7 linked regions of the Oryzias latipes genome follow. The protein of the gene in region 7 purifies or fractionates together with the protein of the main gene of each other region. This does not show direct contact. Links are inferred from orthologs where the notes say so. Each region holds a gene or a part of one and is shown on either strand. Other genes may lie near its edges. The genes, in order: hbs1l, exosc10, mphosph6, dis3l, c1d, zfc3h1 and exosc5.

What was found.
Region 1: the proteins of exosc5 (region 7) and hbs1l purify together in Homo sapiens (affinity purification with mass spectrometry; 3 studies listed by BioGRID and IntAct, with this or other methods). This does not show direct contact. The link is inferred for Oryzias latipes from reciprocal best matches to the Homo sapiens genes EXOSC5 and HBS1L.
Region 2: the proteins of exosc5 (region 7) and exosc10 purify together in Homo sapiens (co-immunoprecipitation; 8 studies listed by BioGRID and IntAct, with this or other methods). This does not show direct contact. The link is inferred for Oryzias latipes from reciprocal best matches to the Homo sapiens genes EXOSC5 and EXOSC10.
Region 3: the proteins of exosc5 (region 7) and mphosph6 purify together in Homo sapiens (affinity purification with mass spectrometry; 6 studies listed by BioGRID and IntAct, with this or other methods). This does not show direct contact. The link is inferred for Oryzias latipes from reciprocal best matches to the Homo sapiens genes EXOSC5 and MPHOSPH6.
Region 4: the proteins of exosc5 (region 7) and dis3l purify together in Homo sapiens (affinity purification with mass spectrometry; 5 studies listed by BioGRID and IntAct, with this or other methods). This does not show direct contact. The link is inferred for Oryzias latipes from reciprocal best matches to the Homo sapiens genes EXOSC5 and DIS3L.
Region 5: the proteins of exosc5 (region 7) and c1d purify together in Homo sapiens (affinity purification with mass spectrometry; 4 studies listed by BioGRID and IntAct, counting the BioPlex papers as one, with this or other methods). This does not show direct contact. The link is inferred for Oryzias latipes from reciprocal best matches to the Homo sapiens genes EXOSC5 and C1D.
Region 6: the proteins of exosc5 (region 7) and zfc3h1 purify together in Homo sapiens (affinity purification with mass spectrometry; 3 studies listed by BioGRID and IntAct, with this or other methods). This does not show direct contact. The link is inferred for Oryzias latipes from reciprocal best matches to the Homo sapiens genes EXOSC5 and ZFC3H1.

The regions. Positions count from the first base shown.
Region 1 is NC_019882.2:14,283,430-14,287,517, forward strand, and holds part of hbs1l (HBS1-like protein), read right to left. Parts: intron 498-4,088; coding exon 389-497; intron 1-388. UniProt on the Homo sapiens protein: GTPase component of the Pelota-HBS1L complex, a complex that recognizes stalled ribosomes and triggers the No-Go Decay (NGD) pathway.
Region 2 is NC_019865.2:9,465,357-9,470,066, forward strand, and holds the start of exosc10 (exosome component 10), read left to right. Parts: upstream 1-1,599; 5' UTR 1,600-1,693; coding exon 1,694-1,816; intron 1,817-2,220; coding exon 2,221-2,357; intron 2,358-2,458; coding exon 2,459-2,582; intron 2,583-2,668; coding exon 2,669-2,773; intron 2,774-2,952; coding exon 2,953-3,112; intron 3,113-3,216; coding exon 3,217-3,325; intron 3,326-3,403; coding exon 3,404-3,479; intron 3,480-3,553; coding exon 3,554-3,664; intron 3,665-4,197; coding exon 4,198-4,341; intron 4,342-4,710. UniProt on the Homo sapiens protein: Catalytic component of the RNA exosome complex which has 3'->5' exoribonuclease activity and participates in a multitude of cellular RNA processing and degradation events.
Region 3 is NC_019864.2:5,684,680-5,689,490, reverse strand, and holds the start of mphosph6 (M-phase phosphoprotein 6), read right to left. Parts: upstream 3,039-4,811; 5' UTR 2,854-3,038; coding exon 2,806-2,853; intron 2,765-2,805; exon of another isoform or gene 2,523-2,764; intron 2,415-2,522; exon of another isoform or gene 2,364-2,414; coding exon 2,251-2,363; intron 2,164-2,250; coding exon 2,073-2,163; intron 1,978-2,072; coding exon 1,880-1,977; intron 1-1,879. UniProt on the Homo sapiens protein: RNA-binding protein that associates with the RNA exosome complex. Involved in the 3'-processing of the 7S pre-RNA to the mature 5.8S rRNA and play a role in recruiting the RNA exosome complex to pre-rRNA; this function may include C1D.
Region 4 is NC_019861.2:569,750-574,297, forward strand, and holds the start of dis3l (DIS3-like exonuclease 1), read left to right. Parts: upstream 1-1,467; 5' UTR 1,468-1,755; coding exon 1,756-1,885; intron 1,886-3,923; coding exon 3,924-4,074; intron 4,075-4,548. UniProt on the Homo sapiens protein: Catalytic component of the RNA exosome complex which has 3'->5' exoribonuclease activity and participates in a multitude of cellular RNA processing and degradation events.
Region 5 is NC_019873.2:11,213,186-11,217,232, forward strand, and holds c1d (nuclear nucleic acid-binding protein C1D), read left to right. Parts: upstream 1-1,283; 5' UTR 1,284-1,388; intron 1,389-1,622; 5' UTR 1,623-1,626; coding exon 1,627-1,758; intron 1,759-1,960; coding exon 1,961-2,027; intron 2,028-2,472; coding exon 2,473-2,528; intron 2,529-2,633; coding exon 2,634-2,843; 3' UTR 2,844-3,048; downstream 3,049-4,047. UniProt on the Homo sapiens protein: Plays a role in the recruitment of the RNA exosome complex to pre-rRNA to mediate the 3'-5' end processing of the 5.8S rRNA; this function may include MPHOSPH6.
Region 6 is NC_019864.2:5,620,735-5,624,349, forward strand, and holds the end of zfc3h1 (zinc finger C3H1 domain-containing protein), read left to right. Parts: intron 1-2,104; coding exon 2,105-2,233; 3' UTR 2,234-2,796; downstream 2,797-3,615. UniProt on the Homo sapiens protein: Subunit of the trimeric poly(A) tail exosome targeting (PAXT) complex, a complex that directs a subset of long and polyadenylated poly(A) RNAs for exosomal degradation. The RNA exosome is fundamental for the degradation of RNA in eukaryotic nuclei.
Region 7 is NC_019873.2:26,312,447-26,317,127, reverse strand, and holds exosc5 (exosome complex component RRP46), read left to right. Parts: upstream 1-1,530; 5' UTR 1,531-1,576; coding exon 1,577-1,673; intron 1,674-2,692; coding exon 2,693-2,806; intron 2,807-3,357; coding exon 3,358-3,479; intron 3,480-3,563; coding exon 3,564-3,704; intron 3,705-4,183; coding exon 4,184-4,273; intron 4,274-4,361; coding exon 4,362-4,457; 3' UTR 4,458-4,533; downstream 4,534-4,681. Other genes in the region: catenin alpha-1-like, read right to left, coding at 1-35, 110-303. UniProt on the Homo sapiens protein: Non-catalytic component of the RNA exosome complex which has 3'->5' exoribonuclease activity and participates in a multitude of cellular RNA processing and degradation events.

The sequences.
Region 1 (4,088 bases), on a different chromosome or scaffold from region 7:
ATGTTTGATTGACAGTTTCTCCTGAGCCTGCTTTCAAGTAGTAGAGGTTTGGATTTCCAACAAGCTTACTTCTGATTGGCAAGAGTGGTTACCAAAGAAATGATGAGTCAGACCGATTCCGACAAATCACTGCTTACTTACAACATCGGACTCCAAAATGGCGGCGTCCGTATTGCGAAAAATGGTGACTGAATTGACTTAATTTCCTTGTAGCCGCAACTAAGCTGTTTTCTACGCGTGACATTACAGTTACTCAGTCCAGCTCTCATATACAGTCAGATGTTTCATATCAAGAAGATTAGTATATGAGCTACAATTTTGCAAAGTTCAGGTTTTTCTATCGGTAACCATAAGTACATAATTAAAGAGGGGACGTAAGTTTAGATACCTGGGGACCTCAAAGCCCATGGTCTGCTTCTTGCCAGAGACAGTCATCCGGGCCACTTTAGGAACCACCTCAGAGTCCAAATGGTACTGAGACACATCTCTGCCTTTGGCTAGGAGAAAAATGACAACAGTTCCAAACTAAAGTATAATTTTAAAGTATCATGATCACAAACTGGTCTGATCTATGATGTTTAGAAAAGCCTGATGTTCCCTCTTGTTCTGAAAACCCAATTACATGATCCAATTTTTAAAAATTCACTCTTTCTAGTTTTTTTTAATGAAGTATGATCAATGGAGCGGCTTTGAATCTCTAATGAACAAAGTAATGTGTTTCTTTCTCTCATAATGCCACTGTAAAACAGAAAACTGTTTTTACCCCTTTTACAAACAGCAATGAGTAACAGCAAACACCTACTCATCGTTCTCGCAAGTCAACATCTCTGGTTGTAAAGGCTGATAAAAATGATAAGAATTTCAGTAGCTGCAATCAAATAATGATGTGACACGCATACACGAGTCGAGTGAAAATGCAGAATGCAATCTGTTGCACATATCTTGGTTGAGGAAGTCCATATTCTGCAGCAGAGACTTGTTGAGGTCATCGCCTCGTCATTGCAGTCCTAAATGGCCACCAATCCCAGTCATATCGATCCGCTCCTGATTCATTTAGGCTGGGCTACACAACCAAGCCTAGTGCACATTTTGTGCGTCAGTGTACGTGTCTGTTTGCATCTGGCATCCTGGCTCAGAAAGGGTTAATTTCAGAAGTGGCCGTTGCCTCCCATCTCCACAGAAATAGATCAGCATGATGCAGTGTTTCTCAAATGAATCTTCTGAGAAGGTGTTACCTCAGCAAGTGCTGGGCTGGAAGTGACTGTGCATTTTTTTACAGTGTCCTCACATCTGATCAAACTGTTGATGCAAATGAAGGCAAAAGACTGAGCTCAAAAACGTTTTTTTTAATAATTTTTTTTTTTTTACTGGTGTTAAAAAGGACAGATTCCACAATCATGCCATCTTGACCTAAATTAGTTGGTTAAAGTTAGAAAAATAACATTTTATCTTGTTGGTTCGCGCCTCTGTAGCCCGAACGTTGAGCTCTTGGCGGTCGGACTGTGGCCTTATTTTCTGCCCCGGGAGTTTATCTTCCCCCATCAGCTGATGCAGACGCCGTTACTGACGTCATCAGCAACATCATTTCCCGGCTACAGGAACATCAACCAAATGCATTTGTATTAATCACTGGGGACTTTAACCACGTTGATTTGGACAGGACTCTTTCTGAATTTACACAGAAAGTGGACTGCCCCACCCATGAAAAAAAAACCTTGATTTGCTGTATGCTAATCCACAGGGAGCGTACAGAACCACAGCCCTTTCCCCTCTTGGGAGGTCAGACCATAACCATGTTCTGCTCTCTCCTAAGTATGTTCCTATGGTCAGGAGAAGGCCTCTGTCCAAAAGGAAGGTGAAGAAGTGGACTCGAGAGGCTGAGGAGACCCTGCAGGACTGCCTTGAGTGCACAGACTGGGATGCTTTCTGTCTGCCTCATTGTGAGGACATCAACAGCATGACTGACTATCACTGAAGACATTCAATTCTGTGAAGACACCATCATGCCCTCGAGGACTGTCTACTGTTACCCCAATAACAAGCCATGGATTACAAGTGACCTAAAGGCCCTGCCCCACCTTGCTCCTATCCAGCCCCCTCATTGACTAGGACGACCTGCCAGATCAGGAGACAGCTGGAAAGAATTGACCAACGAAAGACTCCTGGCCCGGACAGCATCAGCACCAGGATACTAAAGTCCTGCGCCGCTCAGCTATCCGGAGTTTTCCAGCGCCTCTTTAATCTGAGCCTCAGTCTGATCAGAGTGCCGGCTGCCTGGAGAACCGCATGTCTGGTTCCTGTCCCCAAGAAGACTGCTCCCTCTGGCCCAAGTGATTATTGTCCTGTTGCCCTCACGCCTCATGCGGCAAAGGTGCCGGTGAGGATTTTGTTGGCCCACCTGAGACCTCTGGTGAAACCATCTATAGACCCACTTCAGTTTGCCAACTGGCCACACCTGGGGGTGGAGGATGCTGTTATTTATCTGCTGCAGCGTGCTCACTCACACCTGGATGGCGGGGGAGACACTGTGAGAGTCACATTCTTTGATTTCTCCAGTGCGTTCAACACCATTCAGCCCTGGTTACTGGGTGAGAAGCTGCAACTGATGGGTGTCGATGGGTTCTTGGTCTCCTGCATCACTGATTACTTGTGGGACAGGCCATAGTTTGTCCGGTTGGGCCGTGTCATGTCTGATGTGGTGATGAGAAGTGTGGGAGTACCACAAGGCACTGTGCTCTCTCCTTCCAGTTCACATTGTGCACCAGTGACTTTCAGTACAATTCAGAGTCATGTCATCTCCAGAAGTTCCCTGATGACTCTGCGGTTGTCAGCTGCATAAATGGTGGGCAGGAGGAGGAGTACAGGGAACTTGTGGATGAATTTGTGAGGTGGGCTGGAGAAATCACCTGCTGCTCAATGTGGAAAAGACCAATGAGATGGTGATTGACTTCACAAAGAAACAACCATCTTCTCGGCATCTTGGGCAGGGATGTGGCAGAGGTAGAGGAGTACAAGTACCGGTGAGTAACCATTGACAACAGGCTGAGCTGGAAGACTCTTTTTCCAGAGGAAACCAAGGTCCTTCAATATGTGCATCAAGGAGCTTGAAATTTTCTACCAGTCTGTTGTGGCCAGCGCTCTGTTCAGGGGGGGAGAAGCTGTGATGGAAAGGAGGACTATTATCCATCATGGATAATCCTGAGCATCTTTTCCATCCTGTACTTGACGGTCAGCGGAGCGCCTTTTCCAAGAGGCTAAGGCAGCTTCAATGTCACACCAACCGGTACAGGATATCATTCCTACCTCACGCCATTGAATTTTATACCTTTTGCCATAGAGAAGCTCCATCACTGTCCATTTTTAAAACACGCTTGAAAACCCATTTTTATGCTCTGGCTTTTAATACAACATGAGACTTCTGTTATTGCTGTGTTGCTGTACTGTTTTTTATTGTTTTATCTCTCTATTTTTAATCTTGTGTTTTAAGATGTTTTAGTGTTTGTTTTCTTCTTTTCTCGTGTTCAGCACTTTGTGTCGGCTGCTGTTGACTGAAAGTGCTATATAAATAAAGATGAGTTGAGTAGATAAACTCATTTCATGTTTGTTTTCTAAAATCTGTTATCTGACTGTTGCTTCCCTGATTGTCACTCATTGCTTGTTTGTTTGTTTGTTTGTCGTTGAGCCTGTACACGGTTGCTGCAACAGCCGAATTTCCCAAGATGGGATTAATAAAGTATCTTTATCTCATATTATTTTCCATGACTTTTGGGTTATAGGTGAAAAGCATCATTTAATACCTCATTTTAAAAAGTACCCTAAGAGAAAATGAGACTAAAAAGTCTGATTCACCAGAATATTAATGAACTTTCGCTAACCAAGTATTTTCTAAATGACTCTTCTGAAAAAAGAAAAAAGTCCCTTAGAACCCAGTGACACAGAAATCCAAGTCAGACAGATCATTACTTTATGATGAGGCATTTTTTCTCATGTAAAGTCATGCAATTCATATACATCACGCTATCACAAATTCTTTTTTTTTTAAGTGCATCAAACTTACAAACATAGATCAAGCCCAGTTTTAAACAAAA
Region 2 (4,710 bases), on a different chromosome or scaffold from region 7:
TGGGTCTAAATGACCCACTCCCAATGTCAAAGTGCCTAGGATAGCACAAGGGTTACCCGACAAATATTTTTTTTTAAATGCCAGTTTTTATATAATCTTGATTGGAAAAAAGGCAAACAAAAGCAAACCACAAAAAAATAAAATCACTGCAAAAAAGAACAAAGTTTAAGTTTTAATCTCGGGAATAAAAAAAATCGGAGATAGAAATCATAGAAGTCTCAGGACAAGGTCAATGAAACACTCATCTGTATCTGTATCCCCACTATGTAAACGTCGTGACATGGGAGACAGAACTATCTCTATAAGGGATGATTATTGGGAAAACATTTGGCGATGAGCCAACGATATTTCAGTTTATAACAGAATTTGATCTTCAATCAAATAACATTTTCTAAAATATTGAGGAAAAAAATCAGAATTCTGGGATTAAATTGAGAAGTCTGAGGAAAAAATCAGAATTCTGGGATTGAAAACAGAATTTGATGAAATAAAAGTTGGAAGACACACCTGAATAACAAAAACCTGAAACGTCTCATCACCTTTTTTTAAATGACCCTAATTCTATTCCGTAACTATAAGTAAGGGATAATTGCTGAGGAAGTGGGCATTGTCAGAAATTAAAGCATGCCTGAAGTCTTCGCATTGGAAGGTTCAGGCTTCCACGGCGTGTGTTCATTTCAAATAATGCAAACTTCGAATACAATTTTCCCGCTTCTACCATGACTACAGCGGTTAAGTAAAGCGATATTCATGCTGATCATCACAATGGGTATAGCATCAGTTCAGAGAGAAAGTTCACATCTTATCGCTTGTTTTTGTCCAGATGATGAAACAAAAGTTTGTTTTAAAGAAGCATTGATATAGAACATTTATGCTATGTGACCAGAACTTCTTTTTAGGTGTGCATTATCCCTGTGGATTGTCCCATTTAAATGAAACAGCCAATCAGAATCGAGTATTGGTATACTTTTTATTTTAAAGTCCCACTCAGAGAACATTTTAAACTATTTGAAAGCGTTCACAATTAGAAACGCTTTTCTTAAATTTTGGGCAAAACCAGAAAACCTCTGTCGTTTTCACGTAGTTTCAACAGAGCAGCAGAAGTTCATCCGGATATGTAAGTTGGAGTGTTGGTGCAGAGTCTTCTTCCTCTTTTGGCTTTTCCCATCAGGGGTCAGCAACCGGGCTTGGGACCGGCACAGAAGTAGAGAAGGGAACAGGGAGAAGCCCGGAGTTGAACCCTGATTTCACGGAAGGAAGTGTTGGTGCAGAGTAAGCGATAAAAATGGCGAGCAATATCGAAGCTATACAGCCTTACAGTTTTGAGCCAGCTCGGACAAGGAAAACATGGCTATTTGTTTGCAATTGGGTGCATCGGAATGGAGCAGAGCGTGGAGCTCATGGTCTCCAGTGTGACAATGATGTCCCTGCTACAGGCTGTTTCCAAAAGTGTTTGTCTTCAATCGTGACAAAAATGCTTCAAGAACATGCTAAATACACCAAAAACACAATTTTCCGTGGAGTGAGTCTTTAAATCAGTGAGAAAAAGAAATGGTACAAAAAGGCTGTTTTTCCACTCCTTGTCGTCAGGTGTCGCTGTGGCGCTTTCGGTGCCCTGGTAAGACTGCAGAAGAAAGAATTGCGGAAAGGGACTGCTTTCGTGGTCACGCATGTCCACACGACAAAATAAACCATGTCCCTGTCTAAAAGTAAAGATGACTCGAACCGAGAAGTTTTGGACAGCAACTCGGACACAAACGAGGAGGATAAAAATGAGCTATGTCCCGGTTTTAAAGACGTTGACGCCTTCGTTAAAGTAAGGGAACAACAGCAAATGCTAAAGTTTTTAGCTGAGGCTCAGGCTAAGGCTCTTCCAACGTGGTTGATTAAATTGTTGATGAATCAATGACATATATATTTTTGAGTAGATGTGTGTAATACTTATATTGCTTATAACAAGACTGCATTTCACGTTTATTGAAGTTGTGGGTTTCTATATATGCGAGTGCAAGAAATTAACTGAAAGTTGAGTGATTCTAGATGAATTATGCACTTTAATGGTAACTTCACAAATAAATAAATAAAATAAGAGGCTTATTAGGTATTTAAATTCGGTTATTTTCCTCAATTTATTTTGGTGTGATCCTAAACGTTCTTCGTGTTTCTTCGTTACAAACGGTCCCTTAACTGCTAACAGCACAGCTTCCCTCTCCTCTGCAGCATGGATTTGGTGTGGTGTTATCAGCCACCAAAGCATCTGCAGGTTTACCTCAGCCTGGAGATGAATTTGATTTCTATCGAAGCTTCCCAGGCTTCCAGGAGTTTTGTGAAAGTCAAGGAGATCAGATTTTGCAGTGGTAAGTTTTTTTTTTCTCCCCAAAAAAAGTTTATGGTAAACCGGAGACCTCCATATTCACGCTTCAGACCTACCAACTGATGATATGTTTTGTCTTGTCAGCATGAGTCAGATTATGCAGCACCATGGCTGCAGATCTCACGTCAAAGACCGGAACAAGCTGACAGCTGTGGAGGAGAGGTTTGACTTGGTCGTAGACTCCAACGATGTCATCCTTGAAAGAGCGGTACGACCAGCAACCCCAGAATGAAGCAGTTTGCTAAATGAAATGGGTTTTTACAAACGAGGCCTTCACATCGTTCTGCTGTGCAGGGGATTCTTCTTGATGAAGCTGACGGGGTGAACCGGAATCAGAAGCCAGTTATGCCTGCTGGGTTCCAGCCTCCCAAAATTGTTGTTTCCAGCTGGAACCGCAAGGTAAAATAAGTCTCCTCTCTTGTCCTGCTGGGCTCTAATGTCTGCTTTGACCACATTCAGACGAAAAAAAGTGTCAGATTTGGAATTCAGTATCTTCAGTGCTAAAGATGCTTGAAGAGGGTTGACAACCATTCACCACAAAGGGTTGGATTTTCTCAAACGATGCCTCTGTGAACCAGGGTTCCGGCTCCAGCAGTCAATCCGAGACGTTCCGACTTCTCCATGCCAAGAATATAGCTCGGCCTCAACTGAAATTCAAGGAAAAGATAGATAACAGCAACACACCTTTTGTGCCCAAGATCTTCATCAAGCCCAATGCAGTAAAGCCTCTTCCATCCTGTAAGAAACACGTTTGTCAGCTTAGATTCACATCTTCCCCTGTGACTTGTAATAATCAATCTTCCAGCACATGTACATTAATTCACTGCTTCTTTTCCATGTAGATTTTACCAACAAGCAAATACGCAATGAAAGACCAGAGGATCTTGATGTTCCTGCCGCCCTGGCCGACTTAATTCACCAGCAGAGAACTCAGGAACATGTTGAAGACATGTAAGCTTTGTTATCTGAGCAGTGTTGTTTTGTACTGTAAGATTTCTTGCCCTCTATCTGAAGTTTCTGTCCACACAGGTTTTCACACCCATACCAGTATGAACTGGACCATCTCACTGTTCCAGACAGCCTTCTGTCCAAACCAGAGCCTCAAGTAAAAATTATCACATTTCTATAATAACCTGAGTTGGCCTCTTGTCTCACAGGTTTTCTGCCTTTTCTTTATAGATGTACAAACCTATAGCTGAGACAAAGTTATCCTTTATCGACTCTCTGGAGGATCTCGTGGAGCTGAATGAGAAGCTGTGTAAACTGTCTGAATTTGCAGTGGATCTTGAGGTAGAGGATCAGAGTTTAGGACGTCCTCCCTTAGACTGGGGGTCTGCAACCTATCAATCCTTTCTTCTCTTTTTGCTCTGAAGTCAAATTCTAACACTTTAAATAAAGAATGGGTTTGTAGTTTTGGTTCATTAAACTTTGTCATTTAGGCTTAGATTTTTAACATAGTGGAGGAATAATAAGGATAAAAGGTCTGATTGGTTGACCTCTGATCGGAAGATTCCGGTTTTGATTTCCATGTCGAAGTGACCTTTAGCCTCTATAACAGAAAACACTGTTATAATTTATAATTGTAAATATTTAAAAGCTATGTTTAATAAATGAATGGCTTAATGGCCACAAAAACAAAACTAAAGTTTATTTTTCAACTCTATGAAGTGCATCTCTTCCTGGGTTTTGTCAGGAAGAACCTGGACTAAATGGATCTGTTTGTGTTAAAGGTTGCAGGCCCCTGCCTTAGACCGTAACTGTTTGAAATGTCAGCATTTTAACAATGACAGTCTTTTTAATGAACACTTTGTTTTCCATCTCAGCATCATTCCTACAGGAGTTTTCTGGGCCTCACCTGTCTGATGCAGATCTCCACCAGAGATGAGGACTTCATAATTGACACGCTGGAGCTCCGCAGTGAGATGTACATCCTGAATGAAGCATTCACTGACCCGACTATTGTGAAGGTACAGTTACCTCTGTGTTTTTGCTCTGAGTATCTTTAAAAATAACAGCTGAAGTAAAGGATTAAATAACATTTGTTGAAGCCAGATTACTCACTATTATAAATTGGTATCTTTAGATCACTATTTATGCCATGTTATTATTTATTTTTTTATTAAAGAGAAAGGACAAAGCACAACTTTGTCACACATGAATATATATCGCATAAATAAAATCGTTTTTTATTTCTTTTATTTTTTTAAATGAAGTTTACCCAGGAAATCCAACCAGCAGCATTACTTTGATTTGGAGTCATTTGATGCAGAGAACTTACTGACTTTCTTTCTCAAAACAATAAAGATTTTTAATCGTTTAATGCTTGTTTTATTAAC
Region 3 (4,811 bases), on a different chromosome or scaffold from region 7:
AGCATTGGGAGTTGGGTCATCTAGACCCACTAGACAGTGCTCTGAACCTTTTTTCTTCAATGATTTGTGATCTTCACTGGTGTCCATGGATTACATGAAATCTTTCCACCTTTATCCACCTTTGTCATGGTAGGGAGAACACGTCAATGTAAGGGTGGGGTCATCTAAGATAGCACAAGGGTTAAATCAGCTGACTATTAGATTTTTTTTTTTTTTTAATGGTTTATTTCAAGCAATTAATTCGAAATAACACACAAAAGCAATACAATCATTGAATCAGTTATACATTCATACAACAACTAATCAAACTTAGGATAATGAGGCATATTAATAAATATTGCTAGAAAGGGAGAGAAAGAAAGCGAACTTACATAATCCCACCCCGTTATACCATAACCATTTTATTACATGATTTATCAATATCCGGTTTCTAGCTTTTATCAGACAGAATTAAGAATCTTGAAATATCAGTAAAGCACATGACAAAGATGAATTACTTAATTGTAATGTAAAAATAACTATTTTAGAAATCAACAGAATATTCAACACTTTGCAAAATGTTTGGCATATCAGTGAAAAGCCGTAAACGGTTGAAGAGTAACGGTAGTTGAAAGAATCTGTTATTTAGATGTGACTGGCAACATCTCCAGTGTTAAAGGGTTCACTTGTAGAGGCTCCCACTGGGTAACGTCACTAAGCTACACTTCATGACGTTAGGATGTAGACTTCCACAGCTTCTCCCAGTGTGGCCTACATCCCATTGACAAACCTCTTAAATATATTAGTGATGTCATAGAATGGACGACAGCTAATTTTCTCAAACTCAACAAGGACCAAACAGAAACTGATCCTTGGGCCTGAAGCCACACTCACTTCAAAACTCTGGTATAAATGTAGGAAGATCTTAACTTTAAAATCCACATATCAAACACAACTAAGACTGCTTGTATTCCTTTAACAATGTTGCCTTTTATCATATCTAGACGGGACTTTTGTGATGCTCTTTTAATCTATGAATAGATTCCAGCTCGTCCAGAATTCAGAGCTCACATCCCTCCTGGCTTCCTGTCAGCCTCTGGATGATTTGAAGATTCTCCTTCTAGTTTATAAATGTCTTTTTGGATTGGGACCTTCCTATTTATCAGATCTAGGTCCTTCCAAAACCTCCACAACTCTCAGATCCTCAGGTTCTGCTCTCTTATCTAAACGAAAAACTGAGGACCAGGACCCACATTGAGGCCTCATTTCAGTACCGTGGTCCTCATCTGTGGAACCTGAAGATCTGAGAGTTTCTGCATCTGTGGAGAGTTTCACTGTAAATGTTCATGTAAATTCTCAAAAACGTCTTCATTTAATTCAATTATTTATTTGGGTCTAAAGTATTTCATGGCTTATATTGTTAATCGTTTGTACTTTTATTACTCTCTTTATAGAGCGCCTTCTCAACAATAACTAGTAGCCACAGTTTTCTACCATCTTATGTTCACCTCTTGATTGTTGCTGGTTTTATGACTTTTTATAATTTCAACCTGTTTGTTTTTTATGTCAAACACCTTGTGTTCTAAGCACGTTGAAGAAAGACGCTCCACAAATGAAGTGTTTGATGGATTGAGCCAAATGAGTTCTTTATCATCAGCTTAACTACCCGAGGATGGAGTAGAGTTTAGACCACTACAGAGCAGATTCCATTCTCTTCCTGCGGCTGTGTAGCCACGCCCCCAAAGCTTATATGATCGACATGAAGCGGGTCGACGTTTTAGACCCGGTTCCAGTCCTGGCACCAGTCAGGCTCTGGATCCAGAACTGGAACCGATCTGTTGAGCAAAGAGCAACCCTATCAAATAACATCTGAGGAGGACAGGAGGAAGAGGAAGTGTACCTCAGAGCCATCTCCTCATCTGTGATGTCTGTCTGCATGCAGCTCACATCCTTCTCCTCTTCATCTTCATCTTTTGGATTCAACAAGGTCATCAGTTTCTGTGAGGACAACTGACAGGTCAGAGCACACATGCACACGCACGTGCGCATGCACACGCACGTGCGCACGCACACGGTTGTAGGTTGAACCTCACCTCAACCTCTGGGTTAAAGCCTCTGAAGGAGATCCGGCCAAACTGCAAGTCCTCACAGGGAGTGAAGCTCTCCTCCTCCACCAGCACAGTCCTGATGAAGGAGCAGAGGTCACCATCATCCACACCTACAGGTGTTCACACCACTGCAGGCGAGGCGTGCACGAGCACAGACACGTACTCTTTGGTGCAGAGCTCGGGCAGGTCCAGATACCAATGCTCGTCGCTGATGATCCTCCTCTCGTCTTCCTCCAGCTGCTTCTTCGTCTCTGCATCCAGCCCTCTCTGCATGAACTGCAGCCACAGATGACACTTTCATGCATACGCCTACGTGCACGCTCTCATCTGCAGTACAGTATACCTCACGAGAGTCAGTCCACCCAGGTGATCACGTGTCTTAAAGGTTTACAATGCAACTATGTGAAACCGAGCACCAAACTAAATCTAACCCACCTGTGGTTCGTCATTCTTAACCTATTAACTAGTTATGACCACCTTTCAGTCGAAAGCAGACCAACCAAAACAGTCAAGCCCCAAACTATGCCCAGCTCTGACAAATTCAACCAGAAAGATCCTTGAATGGAGATAAGACAGGCCCCTGCCGAAGGATGAAGAACAAGAGGCAGAATTATGGACACGAACATCAGTTCTGGTCCATTTCTCTCACTCTGGAGCCAACAAAATGAATCGACGCTAGCGGCTCGCGCCGCAGCTAGCTAATGGTGCTAGCATGTACCTTCATGCGCAGCAGATTCTTGGAGAGTTTCACTCCGTCGGCAGCCATCTTTCTCCGGTTAACACAAACAGACTATCCGCGCTAAACTAACCTTAACTGATTCAACCTAACCGTAGGACGTCGTTGGTTTGGTTACTGCAGCAGAACAAACGCCCCACGCGCCGGAAAAGACATGTTGTCAAAAGTCGAGCATGCGCAATTCAGGCAGGCCTGATTAATCAAGCACCGAGGAATCGAGGCTTTTCCTTAAGTTATGTATTTATCCTACAGGTAATTTTTGATCACAGAACAGTGAAGTGCAAGCTAAAGAACAGGTGAATCAACGGAAATGCGTTTGATGTGTAGTTTACAACAAAATAAACACAACACATTATAGATAAACAGTAATAAACACGACAGTCAACAAAACCCAACGGGTCACGTGGCAAACATTCCAAAAACTTTATTTGTAAGTCGCTTTACAACAATCGCTGATTGTACCGAAGTAGCCTACATTTTGTAAAAACATAATTGAAAATTAATTTAAAAGATAAGCATGTCATATCATAAGACGAAAGATAAAACACAGGTCAATAATTTATTTTTATTTTTTTCTGTTTTGACTTAAAAAGAGAGACGTGGAACTCTAGAAAACCTTTAGTTAAAAGTACCATAGTACACTTGAAGTTTATTTTAGTAAGATACTTGTATATGCATTGAGCAAATCTACTATAGGCCTAGTAGTGTAGGAAGTATGCTAACTGTATCCTTCGTCAGACTTATTTGGAACATCTTAAGTTTACAATAAAGCATAGAGGTGGTACAAAAAATGTCAACTTCAACAGTGACATGTGATCAGATGAGGCAAGTGAAGCTCGGCCTCACTGGTCAATGTGATAAAATAGAAAAACGTACACTAAGTAAATATGATTTTCCTCTGATCCGTATTAAAGACACATTTTCAGTTGACTCGACACATTTCCCACAGTTTCTGAGGTTAAATTTGCAGAATTTGACTGTTGTGCGCTCACATAGGGAGCAGAAACTCCGGGTGAGGCTCTGGAGCGCTTCGCGTCATGTCTGACTGCAGGACTCAGTTGTAACAGAGAGTACGGTCAGAGCGATGACTGTAAGGGCGGAGAAAAAGCTTCCAGGGAGGCGAGCCTCGCCAGCGTTTGAAAATGAATAACAATAGATGGGTTATTTTCACCATAAACATTTGCTAAACTTCCCTGCCAAACGTGTTATGGATATGTCACAGAGGCGGCCATTTTGCAATAAGCAATACAGTAAAAGCCATTCTGCTGCCCCTAGTGGAATGATGATGAACTGCAGGGTAAAAGACATGGAAAGTTTGTATCATGCTAATGCAGTGGCGGTTCTACACTAACTTACTCCCTGGGCGAGTAACCCCACAGGCGCCCCCCCCCCCCCCGCACACATACAAAATTTGACAACATCCTGTTGTGTTACCTATCTTCTTTTTAGCAATTTTACATAAAAAATGCATGCATTTTCTAGACTCGTATTACAGGGGGGTCAAACTCAGTCAAACACGCTTAAGGTTTTTGGCCGAAGAAGATAAACATTTACTGAACACACTAAAGCTAAACTTTTAAACCTTTTAAACTGAACTTTTTTAACATAAATATGCATAAAAACAGGAACACAAGTTAACTTAAACCCTAAATAACTTGTAATATTTAGCTCTCCATAGAAATATATTCTGTCAAAATTATACAAATATGAACATGCTGCAGAATAAAACAAAGAAAGCCTGGAAATATTAATAAGAAATTACAATTCAAATATTTCCGGTTTTTTTTTTGCTCTTTCATCATTTTTTAGAGCATTTTTTTAAGCTGGACTCCTGCTTCATTTTTAGCAATAATTTCTTAATGTGTGACGTCCTGAGTGAGTCTTTGTGAAACATATCAGAGGGATTAGATCTAAAAAAAAAAGTATTGTGATTAATATGTTTATGTCTTATAAAACATAAAAGACTAAATCTTAGAACTCATCAGTGG
Region 4 (4,548 bases), on a different chromosome or scaffold from region 7:
AAATACTTTTGACGAAAGGGAGCAAGCGTTCATCCAGATACCCCACTGGCCCGGAGTGTGATCAAACGAGCAGCAGTGTGACCATAGGAGTGAGAATGCGTGCGTACCGCTGAAGGGCTGGTCCAGTCCTGCGTTCAATAGCCTGCAGATCTTTTTACATTGAAAATGACTCCAGAGACACAGATAGTTTTATTTCTTTTAAAGAACGTATCGCATTTTTTGACCAATGTGTGAAATGTCTAAGAATCTGAATTTAAATGTATTAAAGTGCTCATTTTAACACTAAATGGCTCCAGTGTTGAATTGCTCATGATTTTTTTTAACCATTTGATATTACTGAAATGTACACAGGATCTTTGAACTTCACATACAAAATGGGGATGAGGATTATGTTATTATTTTATCTGATGTAACTATTTATTTCCCCTCGGTTTGATGTACTTGTCTTTATTATTATTATTCATATGTATATTATTAGTACAGTCAGCATACCATAAAAAACAATATAAACTCAAACAAACCATGACTTTGATAAATATTAAGTGTTTTCAATGCTTTCATATGGTTAATATAATATATACTGTATATAGTATATATATATATATTTATATATATATATATATATATATATAAATATATATATATATATATATATATAAATAGTGTGCAAACCTGGGTTTCTGGTTACTGTTTTTACACTTGTGAATGTGATGTTTTTCTATTATGGCCAATAATTTATAATTATAATTTAATTATACTTGTCATTAAGTCTTTATTTTATTTTTTTATTGAACTTCAAACAAACATATACACATAACTACAACAGAAATAAATAAAAAAAGAATAATATACAAAATAAAATAAAACTAAAGAAACAAAATAAAAATTGTAGTTTACAATACTAGTGATTGTCATAAAACATGTGATCTTCAATGAAAATAGACAATTTTATTCCATTTTTGTTTTTTATTAATTTCAGAGATTGAAAATATAAACTGATCTCTTTATGAAATGTATTGAATAATGGTTTGATTTTTGAAAATCTGCTCTTATGAATGAAAAATGTCCCAGATATTAATAAGGTATTGAATGTCAAATCAAATAGATTATCACCAGAAACAATCCAAATAATATCTGCTTTTGTAATTGAATAGAAATAGGAAAAGGAAAATTTGAGGAACCAAGAAAAAAAATCCTCCCAAAAACTGTAAACGTATGAATACAAAGAACAGATGATCAAGTGATTCTATATTTATGTCACAGAGAGAACAGTTATTCTCTGGTAAACCAAAACATGTATGTAATAATTCCTTGCATGGATAGACTGCATTCAGTATTTTAAAATGGATTTCTTTGTATTTTGGAAAAATGGGATATTTAATAAACTGAGATCTTAACTTGATTATTTCTTCTTTTGTGTAAAGCTGTGACATAGAATGATTTTTGTAAGATGTTGGAAACAAACAAAGATCCTATAAATGAGTTTGGAAGTTTTAAATGAACCGGTCGACCATCAAACAACAGAGACGGAAGCTGAACTTGAACATTTGGACCAAAGTCGGAAGCTTTGATCACAATGTGGTGTGGCGGTTTATAAAGTCATTCTTGCCGTTTTGCGAGTCTGTTTTTCTTGAGACTTGAACGCAGTTGTGACCTGACGTCATCACGACGACAGGCGGGACTACGTCATGTGACGTGTACTTCCGGTCCGTCAATGAAGCTCTGGCTAACAGGAGCGGCTCTCTGCAGTTCAGGATGATAAAGACGGAGAGGATTCTACATCTGAGGAGGTTCCGCGGGAGGAAGGTTCGAGTGGTTCGGGAGCATTACCTCAGAGAGCGGGTCCCCTGTTTCAGCTCCCTATGCCAGGCGGACTGTGCTAACGGTAGTCCTCCGAACCGAACACGAGCGCCAAACCCAAACACGAACACACACCGAACTCAACACGAGCACCGAACCCAAACACGAACACACACCGAACCCAAACACGAACACCGAACCCGAACCCAACACGAGCACCGAACCCAAACAAGAGCGCCGAACCCAAACACGAACAGACGCACCGAACTCAACACGAGCACCGAACCCAAACACGAACACACACCGAACCCAAACACGAACACCGAACCCGAACCCAACACGAGCACCGAACCCAAACAAGAGCGCCGAACCCAAACACGAACACACACCGAACTCAACACGAGCACCGAACCCAACACGAGCGCCAAACACGAACACACACCGAACTCAACACGAGCACCGAACCCAAACACGAACACCGAACCCAACACGAGCACCGAACCCAACACGAACACCGAACCCAACACGAGCACCGAACCCAAACAAGAGCGCCAAACCCGAACACGAACAGACACACCGAACCCGAGCCTGCTAGTCCGTCTCTGTCAGTGATCGATCCCGCTGAGTAAAAGTTGGCGGGCTCGGAGAAGCTGCCATGACACTGACGATACTTTCAAATAACTGCGGTGAAGTTAGTGTCAGGTTGGATATTCGACAGACGTTCAGCGCGGAGCTCCAGTGGGGTCTCTAAGGGACCGTCAACAAATGAACAAGGCCATGAGATGGAGAAGATTTTAGATCAAACCCAAAACTAAATGCTTTGCAAAGATAAATAAATTACTATAAGACATCTTCTCATGTTGTGTCTAAATAATCTATTTCTTTTGCAACGTTTTAATGGGAAATGTTTTTTCAATCAAAGATGCTCAATATTTGATAAATTCCAGAGGTTTGCATATGTAAGCTGGTCATTTCTTTCAATAGCTCCCAAACCGCCTGACCCAAAGATATAAAACCTATTCCAAATTGTTGTACTGACATTCCAACATCAGACACACCTCTTTCTTTTGTAATCAAAGATGTTATATATTTTTTATGAATTTTTATATAAAAATTCCAGAGGTTTGCATATGAAAGCTGGTCATCTTTTTCAATAGCTCCCAAACCAACTGACCCAAAGATAATTCATATAAAACATATAACATCTTTGATTACAAAACAAAAAGGTGTGTGTCTGATGTTGGAATGTCAGTACAACAATTCGACATTGGTTTTATATCTTTGGGTCAGGCGGTTTGGGAGCTATTGAAGAAACGATTAGATTTTAGATGTGAACAGCTGTAATTTTAAAACAAAAAGTAATGTAAGATTTGTGTCATCTTTAATTCCTAAACAAATTGGCGTTTGATGTCAGAAGAACAATTTGGCAGAGGTTTCATGTTTTTGGGTGATGTGGTTTGGAAGCTATTGAAAAAACTCAACAGAATTTGCGAAATGCAGGAATTTTTGTAAAAATATTTAATAGAATTTCTTTATAAAATGTGTGTATGTTGTATGTTGGAGCCATATTTTTTTTATATATTTGCAATCATAACATCACACAGTTAGGAAGCAATAAAAAAAATCTTTCCTTCAAACAGTTTTCTTATAAAATATTGAGCATCTATGATTGCAAAATTTTTCCCATTAAAAAGTTGCAAAAGAAATAGATTAAGACACAAAATGAGAAAAGGTTTATAGTAATTTATTTATTTTTATTTTTGCAAAGTTAAATTCCTCTCCATCTCATGCAGTCGTTAATTTGTTGACGGTCCCTAAGAGTCCACACTGGACAACCCGCTGAATGTCTGTCGAATATCCAACAACTAACTTCACCGCAGTGGTACTTTAATACATTTGAAACAAATGTATAAAATGTTAATTTATTTAAAGGTTGATGTTATTCGCACGTAAAGTTCAGCACTGGACATATTTCGAAAGTTACGTGTGAACGGACACGTTCTTATTTCAAATAGGAGTAATTTCAACAAATAGTACGCTTTTAATTTTTTGCATGAAAAGTTTTTGACAGAAGATCATCTTTCTATGAAAATAAAACAGAAACGTTCTTCTCAACGAAACAGGTGTCAAAGTTCTGCCTGGAGACTTGACCCACTATGTGATGCCGGACGCAGACGTGGTGGTCGACTACCTGGAGATCCTGGAGCTCAAGGAGCTGCAGGGCATCATCTTCACCCAGACCGCCTGCCAGGCGCTGCACAGCAAGGGCCGCAGGTACAAGCAGGCTACGGGACGCTAGCTACGCCCTTCAGAACGCTAGATACATCCTTTAGGACACTAGCTACACCCTTCAGAACGCTAGATACACCCTTCAGGACGCTAGATACACCCTTCAGGATGCTAGCTACACCCTTCAGGACGCTAGATACACCCTTCAGGATGCTAGATACATCCTTTAGGACGCCAGCTACACCCTCCATAATGCTAGCTACACCCTTCAGGACGCTAGATACACCCTTCAGGATGCTAGCTACACCCTTCAGGACGCTAGATACACCCTCCAGGATGCTAGCTACACCCTTCAGGATGCTAGCTACACCCTTCAGGACGCTAGATACACCCTTCAGGACGCTATATACACCCTTCAGGACGCTAGCTACACCCTTCAGGATGCTAGCTACACCCTTCAGGACGCTAGCTACACCCTCCAGGATGCTAGCTACACCCTTCAGGATGCTAGCTACACCC
Region 5 (4,047 bases), about 15 Mb from region 7:
TCTTCCCTGCTGGTGTAGAGACATGAGAGCTGACTAACCAGAAACACTGAAACGATGTGAAGCAAACATGTGGTCTGTTCTGAACTCCTCTGACCTGTGAAATGCTGCCACCTGCTGGACAGACTCAGCCCTGCACCTGCTCTGCTTTCCTCTCCTCTGTTAGGTCAACAAACAAATATACGAAGTCTCAATGTGTCTTTTTTCTTTCAACTTCAATCCGTCCAGGGTTAACGGCTGAAGAGGCTGAGAAGATTGACCAAAACCTTTAATTGCCACAACCCATAAAAACATCTGCAGCTGATCTAACAAATGCATGTTTCTTACAAATTTGGCTCCATTTGAAAGGAAAGCAGGCTTTAAATGGCCTATACTTGTATAGCGCTTTTCTACCTTCCTCAAAGGCCAAAAGGGCTTTACAGTCACACCGCCATTCACACACACATTCACACACTGGTGAATTTGGTTGTCTTTTTTTTACACTGGTGAACTCCGCTGCCAAACACTGACACCAACCTTTTCACCACAGCCAAGGTGGGCTTCAGTGTCTGGCTCAAGGACACTTCAACGCACGGTGGGAATCTAGACTGCAATCTCCCAATTGGAGGTCGACCGCCTTACCACAGCACCACGGACGCCCCTAAAGGGCTGAACTAAACGATGTATTCCCCAGAAGCATTGTTACTATACAGAATCTACCAAACAGAAAATGTTTTTCTGACATTACTTCATCTTAAATGAGACTGTGATGATATTTTTGCCTATTATGATCCATATTTGTAATCTAGTTTTTGTAGATATAAAAATAAGTTTATGAAATGACAGAATATGAACAATTTACAGTGATCAAACATGCAGAAAGCAGTCAGGTCTTGTCCTTTTAATCATGCTAATAAAGCAGAGGATGTTCCTGAAATTCCCTTAATCCTATTTAAAACACAAATGTCTACAAACTGATTTTATTACATACATGATAGTCATTATAACAAAGAATTACAGCTTGTAAATATAGTGATAAGAAAAGCATTAAAACCTTAGATTAAAAGTTTCAGACGAAATAATGTTTAGGATAAAAAGGCAAAACCAAACTGCTTTGTCTCAAACTAAAGAGAGTGTCAGGTTTTCAGATTGATTTGAAATAGATACAATGGACAGTTATAAATGTAGTTTTTAAGAAAAAAGGAATTTTCTTTTAGTTTTTTTTACAACGGATTTATTCAAAAGTTACATGTTATATTCAAATGCTGGGTGGAGGCAATCAACGTTGACTCACTGGCTTAGTCTTTTTCAGTCCTCCAGACGACAGGGGGCAGTAATGCATAAACAGGAAGAACCTCACCGCCACCAGTCAGAACTTCCGGTTTGGCGTTTGGAGCACGCGGATGCTAAAGGTAAATACATCTGTTATTAACTTCTAAATAGCGCAGTTTACACTGAAACTGTGGTTTCTAATCTTTTACTGGTTTCCAAATTTTACTTAATAATCGCAAAGTTGGTGGAGTAATGTTTCCGCCTCTGAACTGATGCTCCAAATATAACAAAATGTCAGACTCACATAATCATTTGCCGGTTTCATTCTGCTGATGTGACTTTTATGATGATCCCGTCGGACGTTTCTGTTCCAGGACGATGGCGTCTACGGAGGAGGAATACCCGTATGAGATCGACGAGCAGCTGCGGAGCTTCGACTCCTCCGTGACTGCGGTGAAATCCATGTTGGACAAACTGATGTCGATGTCCAGAAACGAGCTGCTCGTGAAGGTAACGTGGATCCAGACGCAATAAATGTCCTAACAGCTTCTGTTTCTGTCAGGGAAAGGTGTGGGAAGGCCAGAGAGTCCAGCTCAGCCACTCAGTCCAACTCTCCCTATAGTCTTTTTGGCAAGCCAAGTCTGAATGTGACATAAAGCTGGTGTTTGTCACTGTTTGTTAAATTGTATTAAGTGCTGTTTGTGTGACACAGCTGGATCCTTTGGACCAGGCCAAACTGGACCTGATGTCTGCGTACACCCTAAACTCGTTGTTCTGGGGTAAGTTCTGGAGTCTACTCCAATCAAAGTTTGTTGGGATTTTGTGTTTTGTTTTTTGGATCAAGTAAAATTCTGTTTAAAGTGTCATTTTTGAGGATTTCTTTTTATTAAAATCGTTGTTAGTCAGGATGCAGTTTTAAAAAAAGATCATTTTGTGATGAAAAAAAATTCTGCTGGGCGGCCACAAACTCCCTGCTCTGGTCTGGTAGCAACAGAGAGAGGAAGGGGGCGGGGTTAAGTCCCACCCACAACTCAGGTGAATTTCTACTGCTTCTCTGCACAAACTATGTCTTGGAAAACCACGCAGGTTTTTGGATTTACGCTTCTTACTATGATCATAGTAAGAAGACCACTGGGAACGCTTTTACAATAGATCAAAAGATGATCGAGTGGGGCTTTGAAGTCGTGTTTTGCTGCAGTGTTGTCTCCTCGTTTCTGTCTACAGTGTATTTGGTGACTCGAGGAATAAACCCCAGAGAACACGGCATCAAACAGGAACTGGTTTGTGCTTCCTGATTTTTTTTTTCCTGCTTTTTCTCTGAAGTCTCATTCATTTCAGTCTCATTCATTTCTAGTTGATCTGGATTTTGCGTTTTTGTTCTGCAGGAGCGAATCCGGGCGTACATGAACCGAGTCAAGGAGATTACAGACAAGAAGAAGGCGGCGCGCCTGGATAAGGGCGCCGCCTCCCGCTTCATCAGGAGCGCCCTTTACGAGCCGGACGACAAAGACTCCGGGAAAAAGAACGAGTCTAAAAAACAAGCAGATTCCACAGCCGCAGAGCCGCCTCCAAAACGACAGAAACAGAGGAAGTGAAGGAGGAAGTGTGTGCTCCCATGGCAGCACGCCATCCACACAGAGGAGATGAAGAGTTCCTGAGTGACAGCAGCTCACCTGCTGTTGGTGGAAGGAATCCTCTGAAATCATTTTGGACACAAACAGGAGGATTCCATGAATCTCACTGTTTTACGTTAGTGTTGAGTTACACTTTCACTCACCTTTGTTTGTCTTTTTTTTTTTTTTATAAGACAAGCTGATTATTTTTTTTCCTTTCATTTGTTTATATATTTTATCACAAAATGTGTCCACATGGAAAAAACAGCTGCTTTTATGTTTTTAAGGAACTAAAGCCTTTTGTGGTTGAACATACTTTAGTTTAATAACTATGTATGAAAAAATGACCCGAGTTGACAAATGAAAACTACAAATACAAATAAATCGGGTTTGATTAACAGAAACAACTTTTCAGTTGTCCAAGAAGATAAATGTTTTTTTTACATGATATAACACAATGAGAATTTAAAATGCAAATTTTTTTATTTAATATTTTTAATATTGAAGTCTAAATAGTAAAGTGTATTTTTCATATTCCAAGCTTGAATAACATATTGAATTGTCAATTGAGAATTGGATGTTACTTTGAAAAAACTTCCATTATATGAAAAATGCCAATAATCAGAAACATGTGTTCAAAAGGCTTTTTAAAAAAGTGGCATTCACAGAACACGAATCTTGATGAGTAAATATCCCAAATTCTTTTCCTTTTTTGAATCGTTTTTTTTACATTTTTGTAAATTTCAAAAATAATTTTTAAAACACTTGCTTCCGAGGTCAAATATGCCAACGCTTCTAACGTGGCTGACGTGTAGCGTGCTACAAAGTAGTTACTGTGAACGCAGTTAAAGTCTGACGGAAGTGTGGATTCATCTCTGATTCTTCTGTCTCGCCTAACATGCCTGATTGTTCAGTGCGCCTTACATTTGACATGATTTCAAAGATGGACCATTCATAGATGGGCCGCCTTGTAGTGTGGAAAATGCAAACACTACAAAGGAAGAGAGCCAATGTGAAGCAAAATTATGCTTGAAAAGTAAAATGTTTTATTAGGTCATTACTGGGTTTTGAATGAGAATAATTAACCGTTCCAATGTGGCTCAAACCTTTGACCTGTTTACCAGCAGGACCTGCGTGTTGATCACAAACAGCTGCAGAAGTGACAAAACCTTTTTCCATAAATTCC
Region 6 (3,615 bases), on a different chromosome or scaffold from region 7:
GTTGTGACTATAGAGTATTCATAGGTGGAGTTGTGACTGTATAGTATTCATAGGTGGAGTTGTGACTGTAGAGTATTCATAGATGGAGTTGTGACTGTAGAATATTCATAGGTGGAGTTGTGATTTCAGTATTCATAGGTGGAGTTGTGACTGTATAGTATTCATAGATGGAGTTGTGACTGTAGTGTATTTATAGGTGGAGTTGTGACTATAGAGTATTCATAGGTGGAGTTGTGACTGTAGTGTATTTATAGGTGGAGTTGTGACTATAGAGTATTCATAGGTGGAGTTGCGACTATATGGTATTCATAGGTGGAGTTTTGATTACAGTATTCATAGGTGGAGTTGTGACTATAGAGTATTCATAGGTGGAGTTGTGACTATAGAGTATTCATAGGTGGAGTTGTGACTGTAGAGTATTCATAGGTGGAGTTGTGATTACAGTTTTCATAGGTGGAGTTGTGACTGTATAGTATTCATAGATGGAGTTCTGACTGTAGTGTATTTATAGGTGGAGTTGTGACTATAGAGTATTCATAGGTGGAGTTGTGACTGTAGTGTATTTATAGTTGGAGGTGTGACTATAGAGTATTCATAGGTGGAGTTGCGACTATATGGTATTCATAGGTGGAGTTGCGACTATATGGTATTCATAGGTGGAGTTTTGATTACAGTATTCATAGGTGGAGTTGTGACTGTATAGTATTCATAGATGGAGTTGTGACTGTAGTGTATTTATAGGTGGAGTTGTGACTATAGAGTATTCATAGGTGGAGTTGTGACTATAGAGTATTCATAGGTGGAGTTGTGACTATAGAGTATTCATAGGTGGAGTTGTGATTACAGTATTCATAGGTGGAGTTGTGACTGTATAGTATTCATAAATGGAGTTGTGACTGTAGAGTATTCATAGGTGGAGTTGTGACTGTAGAGTATTCATAGGTGGAGTTGTGACTGTAGAGTATTCATAGGTGGAGTTGTGACTGTAGAGCAGGGGTGTTAAACTCATTTTTGTTCGGGGGCCACATTTAACCCGTCTGATCTCAAGTGGGCCGGACCAGTAACATAAAAGCAAACTAACAGCTTTGTTTTAGTTTTTTACTCAGTTGGAAAAAATGCCTCAACCAACATAGTAGCCTAATCACTTAGGGCCCATGGATCCCAAATAAAAGTAATTTCAATTAAAGAAAAGTTGGTCTATTCAAATTAATACAGACTGAATATTTTACATCTGTCACTGAAGCAATCCAGAAACATTTCTTTATGGTAAGTCTCTTAGTGGTGCTGAATGTTATATTCTTTGAACACTGCGATGTTGATGACATACAAAGCATTTGGGTTTTGCATTCATCTTCATGAAAGAAAAAAAACTGTCCATTTTTCCTGGAAGGCTCTTCACTCCACTTCACGTTTGAAAACATTTTGGTCATTAGGGTGTTGCTACTGATCATCCTTATAGCAAGATAACAGCGGTAAGGCTCATATGGAACCAAAGTGCATCCTACCCAGACGCAGAGCTGTTATGTTTCGCTTTTGGCACGTGCAGAGATGCTGTTTCAACTGTTTTTCCTTTCCTTTGCTCCCCCTAGTGGCGGAATTGCACATTTCGGTTATTTCTTTAAAAAAGCATAACTCGCCACAGGAATGGACTAGAAACTCGCTTTCTTTTTTAAACATCCTTATGATTTTTACTCTTCATGTGTGGGCCGTAGTAAATCACCTGGCGGGCCGGATAAGGCCACCAGGCCGTATGTTTGACACCCCTGCTGTAGAGTATTCATAGGTGGAGTTGTGACTGAAACGCAGCATTTGGTTTTTGTAAATAAACGATTTTATTTGCTCACATTAATGAGGATGCTTCATAAGTATTGTCCTACATTTTCACCTAAACTTTCTTTTTTCACAAATGTTGGGCCCCCCTTACAATGTAGGAGCAGCCCCCCCCCTTCTGTGTAATTACTGAGTAACCACAGGTGTGAGTGTGAGCACCCCCATATTTTTCACTACGTGCTCCCTTTTCATCAAACCTCCCCTTCTTCACCTACCCCACCTCGTTTTTCCTCTGTATTCCCTTCTGACCACCTCCGTCTCTGTCTCCTCCCAGCGGTTGCTGTACGAGGCAGCAGAGGGTGGAGCTTCGCAGCGCCTGCAGCGGCTGGTGGACCGCTGCCGGCTAACGGGGGTCAGCGTGAGTCTGGGGGGAGTCGGCCCATTGCTGGCTGATGATGTGTGATGGAACTGAACTGATCAGCTGTCAGTGAGGGATGAGGTAAGGCCGACACCCCCGCCTCCTCTTTCCCACCCCCTCCAGCGGTGGGCGGAGCTGCAGAGTCTGTAAGTATCGACTGCTGAGTGACGCCTTTGCTCTTCATCACCTTCTTTTAGTTGCTCTCCCCTTTCAGTTGGATTCATTTCTCCCCTTTTATCTCACTCACCTGAGGGGGGTGGGGCAGGGGAGGGTTAACCTGACATGTCTGATTGAAGGGATGAACCCCACCTTTTGTTTTTTTTGAGTTGGAAAACCTGGACTTTTGTTTAAACTGATCAAAGAGGCAATCAGGTCCCTGATCTGCTGAAAAGGGGGCGTGGCCGCCCACCTGTGCAGTGTTTTCTGATTGGATGAATGAGTGTAAGAGACTAATGATGCTACGGACGCCGCCAAGCGCCGCTGGACTCAGCCAGACTACGGTACCCTTGCTACCTGCTGGGGTTGTCACAGAGCAAAGGACACATCTGTGCGTCTGTTTTGTACTTGTTGTTTTCAGATGTCATTAAATTATTTTCTACAAACTTGGACACGCCTCTGATCGTTTTTAATCTTTTCTAGGTCACATCAGATAGGAAGTAGGGTCAGCCGAATGGACGTTTCTCACTGCAAAGGTCTTGAAGTTGAGTTGTGGCATCTGGACTTGGTCGTCTTTTTTAAAATGTTTCATCGCTCATCCAAGAAGCTTCAAAGAAAGAAAGAAGAGTTGAAGTCCAGATGTCATGACTCAATGTCAAGACACCACTGCCTGGATAAGTAAGATCCTTCAACATCTGGTCTGAAGACTTGAAGGAATAATGGGAGATCCAGAGGAATGTGACCAGAGGACTCTATTGTGACCACAGACTGACCTTTGACCTCTGCGACGCGGACTACAGAAAGCGGGTGATGAGAATTTGCCTGCTGTCACAACACCATACAGTATGATGGTGGTGGATAAAAGTCAGCTTTGCCAAGCTTGGGACCTCATGTGCACCCCCAAGACCTCTTTTGCCCCCCGCAGGGCCTCAATGACTACATGACAATTCTTGCTGGTAAAAGGAAAACAACTCATCACCTCCAACACACAAGTTTCAAATCTGCGAACAATCGGATCACAATTCAAACAGGGAAAAATTTTTTAGAGTATATTAAAAAAAATATAAATAAAATAGGAATGCTTTTATGCAGTATATACATAAATACATACTATAGTTCATTCAAACCGTAGATCACTACAAAAAAATATTTAATAACTTAAACAAGTATTTATTATCGCTTTTTATTTTTTTACACTTTTGTGATTTGCATATCAAAGTCCTCCAATGGATCAGGTGACCTTCTAGTTCTTTATGTCCCCTTAAAGTCCC
Region 7 (4,681 bases):
TGTGCAACACATCATCATCCGTCTCTTGAATTTGCCTAAACAGAGAGTCACTTCGGTCTCTTGTGGATTGACAAAGGCAGATGTAATTGACTAGCAGGAATGCACATACCTGGAGGCCACTGCTGCCATGTTCTCAGTAGCTCTGGCCACAGCGTGAGCCGCTGCCTCCAGCCGGGTGAACTGCTCTGGCTCATGTTCACTGTCGCACAGCAGCACGAGGAGACAAAGGTGACTGGAGATTGGGGCAACCACTTTCTCCACTGCTGCAGTTTTGATAAAACTTTGATCCAGACATGAAGGCATAGTTTCATTTATCGGTGAATTCTTCCCTCTGCGAAAGAATTAGCTGTGCTGCATGTATTATTTATCATGCTACACAAAGTGCCATATGGCAGTTCCCCATAGCAACTGTTGTCACAACGTTATTTAGAATTAATAACATATAAATCATCATTTCTGACATTATTCATTGATTATTGACTGCAGTGGTGGTTCTGCACTAACTTACTCCCAGGGAGAGTAACTCCCCAGTGCAATTTGACGTTCTTTTGTGTTCCCTATTTTTATTTGGCCATTTTACACAAAAGATGCGTGAATTTTGTGGGCTCGTATTACGGGGGTGTCAAACTCACTCACACAGGGGGCCTAAACAGAAAACATGCTTTAAGTTGGGGGCCCAACAACATTTATTTACCAAACTAAAGCTACACTTTAAAAAACAAAACAAAAAATACTTTTAAACCTTTATAACAGAGGTTTTTTAACATAAAAATGAATAAAAACAGACAGTATTGTTAATCCAGAATAAATCAAGTTAAACCGTTAATAACGGTGCTCTCCATAAAAATATATTCAGTCAAAATTATACAAATATGAACATGCTGCAGAACAAAATAAACAAAGTCTGGAAATATTTAATTCAAATTATTCCGTTTTATTTGCTGTTTTGTCAAATTTTTTGTCAGCAAGTAAGTTCATTTCTGCTTGCTGTGTGACGTGCTGTGTGTGTCTTTGTGAAACGTATCAAAGGGATTTGATTTTTTTTTAAACTGCTATTATGAAAACCATTTATAGGTCTTATAAAACATTAAAAACTAAATCATATAACTCCTCACTGGAATTAATCAAAGTTTATTTTGGCATTTTCCTAATTTTGTGCAACACCAACAGTAAAAATTCTCCAAAAAGCCTTAATTCATTCATTAACAAATGATCCATTGTTTATGTCTAATCTCAAAAAGTGCAGCTGTTTTACTGCCTGCATTACCTGCTGTCTTTATGTCAAATACTGACACCAATTAAATGACAGGCATACGTAAAAAATACATTTTATATGGAAAATAAAGACACGTAATAAAAGTGTCCAACAACAACAATAGCAATAATCATAATAATAATAATAATAATGTTAATAATATATTTTTTAAACTACTTACTTTGTTGTTGACTTTCTGACTGTTTTTTATTGAACACAAAATTTAAAACACAACATTGGTTTTGATGCAGAGCCCCTTCGCGTCGGTAAATAGATGACGTCATCGTCCAGCGACGCATCCCCTTCCGTGTTGGCAACGTGATGGAGGTTTCTGCTCCTTCAAATGTTTCTCTCCGAGAGTTTGGCTGCGAGCAGAGTTTACTTTCTCGGCCGGATGGATCTGCGTCTTTCGTTCAAGGTAACAGCTGAAGGAAAATGTTGACTTTTTTCTTTAAGAATATGAGTACAACTCCCGATTCCGCCCAAAGAATTATGGACAAACTTATTATTTCAGAGAAATAATTTGACTCTCGACTGCTGGCAAACGATCTTTAAATGAGTTTTAAGCTAAGAATGTCCTAAAGTACTTTTTGTATTTGCTTTATTTTGGTTTTGCATTAGTTTTAGCTCTTGGTAAATGTTGTAAAATTGTTAATATTCAAGAACAAAAATGAGCAGCTAAATAATAACTAAATATTTTTACGAACTTATCTTTTCACATTTAGTTTTTTGTAATCAAAAGTCAACTGCTGTTAAACCATTAAGAAGCCAAACATTTGAAAAATAATTTCTAGTCATTTTTCTATAAATAAAGATGTTGAAATGTTGGATTCATCTGTTTTACTTTCTGTGTTCAGATCAGCTCTCTCAAATTTAAATATTTATTTCTTGGTTTACTCATCCTCTTTTTTTCATTCCCCAAATCATCTTTGAATATTTGTATCCTAGTGGTCATTGTGAACTGTTTACATCGCCGGCATCGGACTGTATAGTCTGGGGTCTTGGAGCAACATTTTTTCAAAGATTTTCTAATAATTTCCCTATAAAAGTTTTTTTTTGGGGTAATGCTTTAAATTATTTTTTTAATATGACCCCATCTTCTTTTTTATTCTTTTTTTTCAAGATATTGTTTAATATAGTGTATGGGATAGGCTCCAGCAGGCCTGTGACCCTGAAAGAGACAAAACGGGTTTAGAAGATGAATGAATTATATACTATGTAATAATTCTACAGTAAACCTGAAACTGAACCAAAACCACCACTCTAAGCAGCAGATTTGGTCATGCATTTACTGCAAGATTTACACTGTTTTTATGTTTTATAGCCAAGATCAAAGTTTACAGACACAATAAGAATGTAGAAATCACATCATTGTTTCAGGTTTGTCCTCTATTTTAATAGAACTTTGATCTTTGTGTTGTTTTTGTGTCTCTGGAGGGGACACGAGTGTGATGGCTGGAGTTTATGGACCTGCTGAAGTAAAGGTCAGTAAGGAGATCTACGACCGAGCAACTCTGGAGGTGCTGGTTCAGCCCAAAGTTGGTCTGCCGAGTAAGTTCTGCTGCATGTCCTGGAAAAGTCAGATGCTGTCACGTGTGTCTGGTTTTTCTGAAACCAATTCAATCCTTTTTGTTTTTAATCTGTTGTAGAAAAAAAGCAAAAACAACTACTAATCCTTGTTTTTGTTGCTCTAAAATGAATAAATCCAGCTTTAAAGAAGGAAGTCTGTTAAATGTAGAGACAATTATAATCACTTTCAATGGATTCAAATGTTTATATGCAAATATCCTCTTAAGCCTGGTTTCATTCATGTCTTTGGGTTGAATGGAAATCACAGATGCTGTTTTATTTCTACTGAATCACAGTAAAAAGATGAACTTCCTCAGGTCTCATGTGGGTTTTAGTTTCATCTGAAGGCTCACTCGTATCTCAACAGTTCTGCAATTTATAAATAAGCATTAAGACAAAGGTCCGATCAAGGTATTAAAGTCTTTCTTTAGGAATGTTTTGTGCAACTGATTTATAGGATTACGCCATAAGGGGGAGCCAGTGGATTCCTTATCAGCTTTGAACTCATATCCCATCATGCCTCTGTTTTCCAGGTGTGAGGGAGCGCTCGCAGGAGCAGTGTGTGCGTGAAACCTGCGAGGAGGCGCTGCTGCTCACCCTCCACCCTCGATCTTCGCTCACGCTGGTCCTCCAGGTGCTGCACGACGACGGCTCTGTATCCTTTACTAAACCCGACCTCTGAACCCGCGGGGGGCGTGGCCTAGCACCTGCCGAGTCGTCTTCCTTACCTGCTCTGCAGCTCCTGTCCTGCTGCCTGAATGCAGCCTGCATGGCCCTCATGGACGCAGGTCTGCCGATGAGCTGCCTCTTCTGCGGCGTGACCTGCGCCATCAGCGCATACGGGCAGATCATCACTGACCCCACCTCAGCTCAGGAAAAGGTCAACCAAAGATGCTGACACTAACCTGAAAATCTTCATTTTTGCTGCTTTGAATGTAGAAATATAATCAGAAAGCAAGTTTAACAAAAAGTTCTCAATTTATGGTTTAATTTTCATGAAAAAAAGTCACATTTCATAGAATCCCTAAAACATGGATGTCGGTTTTCATCAGATCACACCCCTGACCTAACTTTACTGGTGAAACAAAAATCCAGCTGTGTAGTTTAGATCCAGATTCCAGCTCAGGGGAGGATAAACAAATTTAAAGGCTAATAAAAATTCTAACTTTGCTAAAAAAAAATGGGTTCATTTTCCACCAAAACTATTTTTTTTTTATTTCATAAAAATGCAGTTTTTCTTTAGTGTGTCACCTTCAGTTCATCCTTTTGTCTCAGTGTTTCAGTTCTAAAACAGTTTGCCTTTAAAATTGGTTGTCTGCCCGTCTGGCACTAAAGTCCTATTTTAATTTCTTTTCAAAGGAGAGTCGAGCTTTGATGACTTTTGCCATCGACAGTAAAGAACGTAAAGTAATGATGTCATCCACCAAAGGATCCTTTTCCGTTCATGAGGTCCGTCCAGCCGTTTTTCCATCATCTTCCGCTAAGCTCTCATTTCAATCCTCTCAGATGTTTCTTGTCTTTCTTCTGCTGGTTGCAGCTGCAGCAGTGTGTAGCGGTCAGCCAGAGAGCCTCAGAGAGGATCTTCCAGTTCTACAGAGACTCTGTGAGGCGGCGTTACTCCAAATCCCTCTGATGGAGACACACTTTTGCCCGTTTTGTTCTACATTTTTGTACAACTCCTGATGTAATAAATGTTATCATCCACACCACTGCCTGTCTGGTTTAGTTTTGACAAAACAAAGTGTATGAAGTCACTCACTACTCACTCCACTATATTTGGCGTTTGCTATTTTCTCTGGGTGTCCATCGATTATATATGATATCTGGACTGAGTCTGAGTCTGGACTGCATGGGGGG